Neodiprion lecontei: one gene and its partner. The protein of the gene in region 1 purifies or fractionates together with the protein of each later gene. This does not show direct contact. Links are inferred from orthologs where the notes say so. Each region holds a gene or a part of one and is shown on either strand. Other genes may lie near its edges.

Region 1 (4,517 bases):
GCCTCTTGCATTACATCCTCGGTAAGATCATTGGTGATGAGTGTGTGCGTAATTAACTTCGATTTTGTTGGTTCAATGAGCAGGCCAACGTTATCCCAGGAAGCCGCTAGCTCGATCGGGGCAAACGAGTGAATAGCATCCAAGACTTGGCTTAGCGCTAGTCCCTCCCTAGTAGAGTCCAGATCTCCCATTCTAGATGTTACGTGATGGTATTTGAGAAGCTTATACAGACCGTGAGTTCTGAATAGAAGTCTCGATACAACCGTTGAATGAATGTGCATTTATAGTTGTTTATCTGCAACAGAGATATACGAAGAGGTTTAATTATTACACAGAATGCATATGTGTTCAAGAAGCGAATGATTTGTAATTTTCGTTGATGAAAGAGAAATGCAGAAATGTCATTCGTAACATGATTTGTAGAACGAATGAAGAAAATTTCCAGTATCAACATTTTTATCATGCGTTTACATTTCATATATTGTGGGTGGGGAAAAAAAATGAAGCCAACAACAGTAGTAGTTTTATATTTACAAATTATTTATTGTTAGGGTTAACAGGATATGTGTACATTTAATTTGGAAAAAACCGATTACTAATAAGTGAGTGCTGAAGCAGGGAAGACAGCAGCTGTGCTTGACTCCCATTTGAGCTGCAACATCAGTGATTGAATGATGTAAGCCTCTTATTCACTGTACAGCCAAATTTTGACAAGCCCGTCGTCGCTTGCCGATGCAAGTTGTCCAGGAACAACAGGATTCCATTGTACAGAGTTGACGTCCTGTGTATGTGCATCATCTGTAGTACAAACCATACTAAAGGAGGGTTGATTTGGATTTGAATCAGTGTCCTCGCGAAATATTCTGATGATATCGTCGCCACATGCTGTGGCAATAAGCCCTGTTAATTTGCACCAGTCAATATCGTATATCGGCCGACTATGGTAGCCTGACAAAGTGCAGCAACACTTCCAAACAGATTCGTTGTTTTCTGTTGATATACCAGCCTCATTACCAGGTTTGTATTCCTGCCATATTTTCACTGTCTTGTCATCGCTGCAGGTTGCCAAACGGTTTCCTGTGCTATCGAAAGACAGGCTCCAAACTGTAGATGTGTGGGAATTCAGAGTTGCCGTGCAGACCCAGTCGCTGTACGCGTCTTCCTTGAAAATTCTCACAGTATCGTCATAGCTAGCTGAGGCCAGGGTATCCTCGTGCGGATGCCATTTTACCTGCAATCATCAGAGTTGCCATTAATTAAGAAGAAATACCGCCATTAGCAAGCAATGCGATATGAATTCACCTTTTTTACATCTTGGGCATGGCATGATATTACAGAAGCACATTCGTATTCATCATCGGCAGCTTCCCAAATCCATACAGATTTATCTCGACTACACGTGGATAATAATTGTCCGCTCCGTGACCAGCTGACACTCTTGACTTCATGCTCGTGTCCTTCTAATGTTACGTTGCACTCGAATTGACCAGCCTTTTTATCCCAAATAGCCGTTGTAGCGTCAAAACTGGCAGATGCGATATAATTTCCACACGGAGACCATGAAACTTCCCTAACCGTTCTCTGGTGGCCTTCAGCCAAGATAGTTTTGACTACCCACTTTGAACTCTCATTCGCCCAAATTCTTATTGTCCTATCCTCGCCACAAGAAGCTAAGCTATTGCCTTTTGGGTGCCAACATACATTCCACACTCTTCCTTTATGACCTGATAAACTCTGTTTCAGTTCCAACGAACCCATCGCTACCTGAAACAGGACGACCCAATTCTAAATGTGCCTAAGCAGGATAGTACCGAGTCTGTCCCACTAATATTCCAGTTACACAAAACTGCACAAGGGATTGACATTCTAATAATCATTTGATATTTACAATAATGATGGTTCATAGATAGCCCGAGAGCCTAATATTGGGCAAACGATACAGGGCACCATAAACAATAGGGAAAAGAACACATTTCTGGTTGCAACATACGCATCATCATGTCTGTTAACGAAGGGAAGTTTTGCTCGTCAGAACAAATGTTAGAGTTGATATAAAATAAAATTCAGAACGTAACGCCTCTTGAATGAAATATCGATTAAATGGTTAAAAAATCAATGAAAATTAATCGAAATGTCAATTCGCACTACATAGTGAACTTTCACGATACACTTCAGACACATTAAATGTTTAATTGTCCAGAATTGGTTGCATAAACTTGAAGTGTCCGAACGATAATTCAAGGCAGCCTCAAATCGAGTGCAACGGGTAAGATTATGTGCAGGCTCTGTTATATCCTAGCCAGAGTTTTGATAAAAGATCGCATTCTGTAACAATCGAAAATCACACACACACAAGAGGTACGAATTATGCTGCCGGTGTTTATCACTTTCAGCGATTGTGTACGCGAAAAATTCTGTTCGCATGGAAATCGGCGTGTCTCGAAAACTTGTTGTGGTTACTCTAATTTTTTCCGAAAAATTTGAAAGAAGAGAACATTAGGTACATTTAGAGTGTTTCGTGTAGGTTCACGCTGTAGTTGCAAATAAACGAAGCGAAAAATAATTGAAAAATTCAAAGGTTCAGATTAGGATCGGGGATCGGACTTGGGTTAGGTTTATTTTTCCAGACGAACCTATGATGCTAGAATGATATTTTATCAATCGCAACGATTATTTCAAAGAGGAGTGTATTGCGACGGCGATAACGAGGACGATTTGCAATTCTTGTGTTTGTCAGAATTCAACTATTTACATTACTTAAAACTATGACCTTGCTTAAAATACATACTCAAGTCAACTCAATCAATCTGGCGATCACTATCCGCGTTGTACGTATGCATGTACGTATGTATTGTACATACATACAGAAATGTAGATGAAAAGACTATCGCTTTCTGAAACTAATTGACTGTGGTAAGGACATGTCGAACTGTGTTTACCATCGCCAAACAGATCGTTAGCTAGTATGGTACAGTGGTATGTGCAGCATAGCCAGATCACAATTCCTGTGCTGCCAATGGCACGCCCGATAAAAGGAACAAACGTAGAGCTCCATGTGACTTTCAAGGCTCCTATGTTCCTGCAGGCAAGAAAGAGATGGATACCACTTCCGCGATGTTAAGTCCGGATCGGTTACCGACGTGCCTTCGACGTCATCAACGCCAACTCGAAAAGCCTATCCCCTGTCAGAGGGCGCTAGTCCTCTATTTACCAATTGTTCACCGGGCGGATTTGACGCAATTTTTTGTCCAGTAGACGTCGCTGGTTGTGCCGAGTCGGGCGTAATTTGCGTTTCATACGGTACGGCGGTCGGTGTACTTACGGGAATATTCACGTTAGCAAGGATCCGGAGAATTGTCTGAGTTCGAATTTTTTATTTTCTGAAATGTGTTCGTGTCGTGCTTCGATTTGCAATTGCGCTTAATCTAACATGGAAAATCGCTGGAGTTGCATTGTACGTTAATCGCATCGCGGACGGGTAGTCGCTATTAATTAAGGTAAGAAAGAATTTTGCGAAGCCGATCGATCGTATGTACATACAATATTTCTGCTATGTGACGTTATACATGTGTATAACATACAATGTATGTACGTATGCATATGAGTAAGAATGTAGCATCCGTGGATGCACAAGTGTCGCGCGATTTTCATCATTTCGGGTATATTCAGATCCATTCTGATCCTTTTGTTTTCTGAAATTGATGAACTGGATTTTCATCGGTCACTGTCAGTAAGTTATCTTTATCCTCCGTATATTAATATATAAATATTTACCTTCGAATCAAAGTGCCAATGTTTCTCGTACGTACGTACTACTACCACAGTTGTCCATTATTGTTCCTTGTCGCGTCAAGTGTAATCATAACTGCTAAATAAAAAAATCGTTTCATATCCCTTGTCAAAGAAGACAGTAGTATGGCAATGTTTCTTAACGAGTTTATATGAAAACATTGTTAACAGTTGTGATGTACACGAATCGGCAAGTGAATATGTCAAATCCGTGATTCCAAAGAATGTTATCGCAAGTCGCAAGTCGCCAGTTTGGTCGCCCCTGGGGCTGCGCAGTCTGCGAAGGTGTGCGTGCGTGCGTGAATGACGCTGTTCATCTCCATAGCGTTCCGTGACATACCATATAATACGCACACGTATGGCATATACATGCCTATACGGACGAGTGGTCTGTTGCACAGCTATCATTCACAAATCTGCGTGACACAGATAAGAGTTTTATAAACCGAATTAAAAGTATTTTAATTAAATATAAGGTATGTGTTGTAATAGGGAAGTCATTGGTGGACTTTGTTGGAATGAATTTTTCGATTCTTTGTGATTCGGTCCCAACTGAAAGCCGCACAGCGGTACGAGTTCTTCGTTGTTTATATCGAATAGATGACATATTCGCCAAACAAAACCGCAGTGTAGGGTCGAGGCAAGCCTCAGACTGGCAAGTCTTATTAAACTTGACGGCATGGTTATATAATTATATGAACCGTGTACATGCCTATGGTCCCCTGCAG
Region 2 (5,048 bases), about 4.1 Mb from region 1:
TAACTGTATTTTTATAATTCTCAATAATTGACTAGATCTGATGTTTCTCGAACTTTATCATATTCCTCACATGTGTATTTACATACTCACAGAAATTTAAATCAAAGATTCAGAATCAAATTCCATAGAGTCTGTTTGTACTTATACTATTATTAATCAGTCATTCGAACATCGATTTATCGTCAATTTTTATAGTAAAGATTATCGATCGTAAAAATTTTCCAAACCACGATATTGCAACATATAAAGTACCTATATGAAAACCAATTAAGATCGGTATTAATCTGTTGAAAAAATAGGAACGAGAATATTTATAATCTATAGTGAAACCATTTACACGAATGACAACGTCAATACATCTTTAAATATATTGCCAATACTCATCTCACAGAGTTAGCACATTTAGAAACATTTTTTATCAATTGCTTGTGATTAGGATAGTGAAGTAGCTTTTTTGTCTAGCTGATAGCATTAGTATACCGTTATCAAAATAGACTTTAATGTTATGGCTACGCGGATTTCCATATACAAATAGCTAAATTTCCTGCGCAATACATGTACAGAAGGTGTTTTAGCTGATAGGTAATCTCGAATCCGTATCCTTCACCCACTACCGTGTGCCAGGATGCTCCAAATTTTTTGTCCATCGTTTCCTTAATCATTTTCGAAGCACTCTCGTAATTATCCGCGTACTTCTCGGCTGCCGTTACGCATAACTCCATCGCTTCCTGTTTCATCTCGTCGCTCATGTCACATTTCTGTTGGAACAAACAATAAACAACAAAAATAAAAATACAAGAATGCCCCATTAACTTCAATTTCCACTGAAAATGTTTATTTATTGAACGACTGTGAAAATTAAATTTGAATTCAATATTATACACTTGATTCTAAGTTCATTTGTTAATCTTAATTTCTAATTACACAAAAAGATGCAAAGATATTGCATCAAAATTAGAGAAGAAATCAATTGCTCGAATACATGATTCGAATTTGTTTATTTTTATTTTCGAGAAAAATTTAATGTACATTATAATTACGTTTAGATATTTGTAATTGAATGGGGATTGAAACTCACGCGACACAAGGGATACGTATGAAGTATTTTGACGACATCGTCCTTCTTGACTTCCGTCATCGTTCTGTTGTTTATTTTTATAATTCAATCTCAATCGTAGTTATAATTGCATTACACTATTAATTGTATGTGCGGCAACACACGACGAAACACCTGTGTTACACTGATGCAGAGAAAATTGCCGTGAAGCAGGCGAAATTGGGGCAAAATTATTGCGCTCGTGACTCATGCGGAGTCGTGAAATCAGATGTCAAGTAGGAAACGGGGCGTTGGGCATTTGGCAGAAAGGGAGGAGGCAAAATATTTACTTCCCAAGGCAACAGGGAGGAAGAATCACCCCCCACGTATCTATGCACTCGATTTCGTCATCGTGAATGGTGAAAGAATAGGCGCCGGCGCAATCGCGACATCGCACGCTGTGTTTTAATATTGTCCGTTTCGATTGTTGTTCATATACAGGTATATGGAATGTCAACGCTCGAGAACTCGTAATATATCTATAATTTAAAACAATCAAATTCCTTAATTTTATCTCGTAAGCAAAATACAATTAATAGTGCTCGTAATTCATGGTCAAAAAGAGCCAAGCAATTGTGTTGCGTCTAAGCTGTTATTGACTACAGTTGCAGTTTATTTTATTGCAAGAGTTTTACCGTCTGTGTAGATTTCAAAATATAATGACAAATTTCTTTTACAAAACTCAAATCAATGCGAATCCAGATGAATTGTATTCAGAGTTGCAATGTGTATTATTTGCCACCAGATGGATTCGAAAACGCTCTTTCCCACTGTTGGTCATTGTTGCTTCTAAAAGTGTAAAGTGGCGCCACCCGCGATTACCGAGCTATTACTGTATTGTATAAGTAACATTAGCTTGACGCTAGTACACTGGGAAAATCACGCAGTTTGTCGTGTGCGCAAGTGATAGTCATTGATGTATTGCGAAGTATACACCTGATATTCCGACTGATTTCAATATAAAGTTTTAAAACATGGCATCACGATTTAGTGGTGCTCTGCAATTGACGGATTTAGACGATTTCATAACTCCGTCACTGGTAAGTTTAAAAATATGTTATTCCCGTAGAATATCACCTAAACTTTTGTATTTGCATGTCCAGTTTCTCGAGCGTATAAGAATAGGCGCTAAATTCGAATTTGTTTTACAGGAGTGTATAAAACCAATTGAAATACCAAAGTCGAAGGCTAAGACAGGGGCTAAAATAAAAATACAGGAAGACGGAGCTTATGTAGAATTAAATGAGGTTCGTCTGTTAATAATGAATATTATAAATGCTGTCCTTTTATATAGTCAGAACTAATACCTTTTCACACTTCCGAAACTGAACCGAGCATGTTTCACCCAATTAATTATTTTTATTTCTTTATCACAGTCTGGTACTTCGGAAAAACTTCAGAAAGTCGAGATCACTTTAGCCGACTGCTTAGCTTGCAGCGGCTGTATAACATCGGCCGAAAGCGTTCTTGTTACTCAGCAGAGCCAAGAGGAACTTCTGAGGGTCTTACAGGAAAATCAGAACTTTCGAGAGGTAATGCATTATATCTACATCGTACTCCTTGTTTCTCGAATGGAGGCAGAGTCGATAAAAAGTTGGTCACAATCTATTCTCAAATTAATGACAACGTTTTGATGTTTCACAGAATGGAAAACAAGAAGAGGCGAGATTCATCGTAGTGAGTTTATCAGTACAGCCAGTTTTGTCGCTAGCCGAGCGCTATGGTTTGGATCCAGAAAGCGCTACCCGGAAATTAGCTGGTCATTTTCGTCAATTGGGAGCAGATATGATATTGGACATGACTGCAGCAGATGATTTTTCTCTGCTGGAATCAGCGAGAGAATTTATTGAAAGATATAAGTCTTCTCAGGATAATGTCAAAGGTCAAATACCGATGCTGGCTTCGTCTTGTCCAGGTATAGCTTATTTTTTACCGAATACTGTGACTAAAAATTCCGACAGTTGTGTATTATTATAATCCATCCAGGTAATTTCTTTCTTTGTACAATTAGGCTGGGTTTGTTACGCGGAAAAGACTCACGGAAATTTCATACTGCCCTATATAAGTGTGACAAAATCGCCACAACAAGTAATGGGTTCTTTGGTCAAATACCATTTGACCAAGTACAAAGGGCTACCTCCTGAGCGAGTATATCACATCAGCGTGATGCCCTGTTATGATAAAAAATTGGAAGCCTCTCGAGAAGATTTTTACAATGAACTTAAGCAGACCAGAGACGTCGACTGCGTGATTACGTCAAGTATGCAATATTAGTAAAACGTGTCGAGATGCATTATTGTGAATTTATTCATCTTCATTGTTCGTGATTATGAATTTTGTTTTTTTTCAGTTGAATTGGAAAACATGTTGATTAGTCAGGGAGTGTCATTGAACGATGTTGAAAGTGGTGAAATAGACCGACCTTTTGGTGCATACAACAAAGAACAATCTGACAAAATACTTTGGGGACATCAAGGCTCGGGATCAGGTGGCTATGCTCATTTCATATTCCAGTACGCCGCTTATCATCTTTTCCAAGAAGCCAATACTACTGTTGAATTTAAAAATCTAAGAAATCCAGATTTCAAGGAGGCAGTTTTGGAAAAAGATGGAAAAATTTTACTCAGGTTCGCTATTGCCAATGGCTTTAAAAACATTCAAAACCTCGTTCAGAAACTTAAAAGAGGGAAGTCTCCGTATCACTATGTTGAAGTTATGGCCTGTCCTTCAGGTAAGTCTCATTCAAGCGACAAAGCATATTTCAATATTCGTTTCTTAAAACTTGGTTTTTTTCTCATCTTTATAGGCTGCCTCAACGGTGGAGCCCAAATACGACCTCAGGATGGTTTACAGCCACGTGAATTGGCCGCTAAACTTGAAACAGTTTATCACAGTCTTCCTTTAAGTAAACCAGAAGAAAATTGTGTTACATTAAGTTTGTACACTACGTGGCTTGAAGGCGAGCACTCCGACAAATCCGCTGCTTTCCTCCATACGCAGTATCATGAAATAGAGAAGATGAATACGGCACTTGCGATTAAGTGGTGAAATGTTCCACAAGAATGGCACAACTAATAACTAAGTAGGTAATTCTCCAAATTGGTATAAGGTAAAGAACAAAATTGGATGATTTGTATTAGCAATTACGATATATTAATATTTATAAACATCTTTATCATTTGAAATATATTTACAAATTAAAATCATATGAAATAAATATGTGGTACAATACTGAAGTAAATCGACACATATTTCATGCCAGAACAACAAGTTTTGAGTTCGAGTGTTATTAAGTGTTACTCAAAAAATCTATCTAAGAATTAAAATTGTACTGTTTGTGTGTATTATGCGAAATTACTAATATTTTTCGGTTTCTCATCTATTCTACATAGTGTTATTATCACGTTACTAACATTAACTTCCAGTTATATACAGGTATGTTGCATTAGTTCGGAAAAAAGTTAATATCATTCTCTTTTATGTTTCACATCCCTGATTACAATTCTGATTAATGAATATATCCATAATATAAGGTAATCACGTCGATGCAACTTCGAAAGAATTATGCCATTTTTCTCTCTCTATTTTTCCATATCCAAATAAGTTCATACTTTGAAATCTGTTATTTGAAATGTTATTACATCTTACTTTACGGTATTGCTTTCCATTTTTTCGAATTGGACCATTTGTTTTATGTAACCACATATTTTGCAATTCATTAATTTTAATTTTCAATCAAAATTTTCTGAAATGAATACCAATCAATTCCACATTTCACGAAAACAAAGATTTCAATCTAGTAAAGCCCTTTGCATTCTTCAACAAACCATTTTAAATGAAATTCAATTCTCAATACAAGCTAATATTTATTAAAATCATAAATCGTACTGGGTGCTCTGTGTTACTTCCGTTTTATGCATCATCAATCGAGTAAGATTTCTATACAGATATG

Evidence for each region. Proteins that work in one complex are often made in the same cells at the same time.
Region 2: the proteins of probable cytosolic iron-sulfur protein assembly protein Ciao1 (region 1) and probable cytosolic Fe-S cluster assembly factor CPIJ010948 purify together in Homo sapiens (affinity purification with western blotting; 3 studies listed by BioGRID and IntAct, with this or other methods). This does not show direct contact. The link is inferred for Neodiprion lecontei from reciprocal best matches to the Homo sapiens genes CIAO1 and CIAO3.

Annotation. Positions count from the first base shown.
Region 1 is NC_060264.1:55,550-60,066, reverse strand, and holds probable cytosolic iron-sulfur protein assembly protein Ciao1, read right to left. Parts: upstream 2,934-4,517; 5' UTR 2,789-2,933; intron 2,782-2,788; exon of another isoform or gene 2,634-2,781; intron 1,765-2,633; 5' UTR 1,759-1,764; coding exon 1,303-1,758; intron 1,232-1,302; coding exon 686-1,231; 3' UTR 523-685; downstream 1-522. UniProt on the Homo sapiens protein: Key component of the cytosolic iron-sulfur protein assembly (CIA) complex, a multiprotein complex that mediates the incorporation of iron-sulfur cluster into extramitochondrial Fe/S proteins.
Region 2 is NC_060264.1:4,193,903-4,198,950, forward strand, and holds probable cytosolic Fe-S cluster assembly factor CPIJ010948, read left to right. Parts: upstream 1-1,939; 5' UTR 1,940-2,070; coding exon 2,071-2,136; intron 2,137-2,247; coding exon 2,248-2,343; intron 2,344-2,472; coding exon 2,473-2,628; intron 2,629-2,740; coding exon 2,741-3,011; intron 3,012-3,107; coding exon 3,108-3,356; intron 3,357-3,446; coding exon 3,447-3,827; intron 3,828-3,902; coding exon 3,903-4,144; 3' UTR 4,145-4,541; downstream 4,542-5,048. Other genes in the region: dynein axonemal light chain 4, read right to left, coding at 510-758, 1,079-1,138.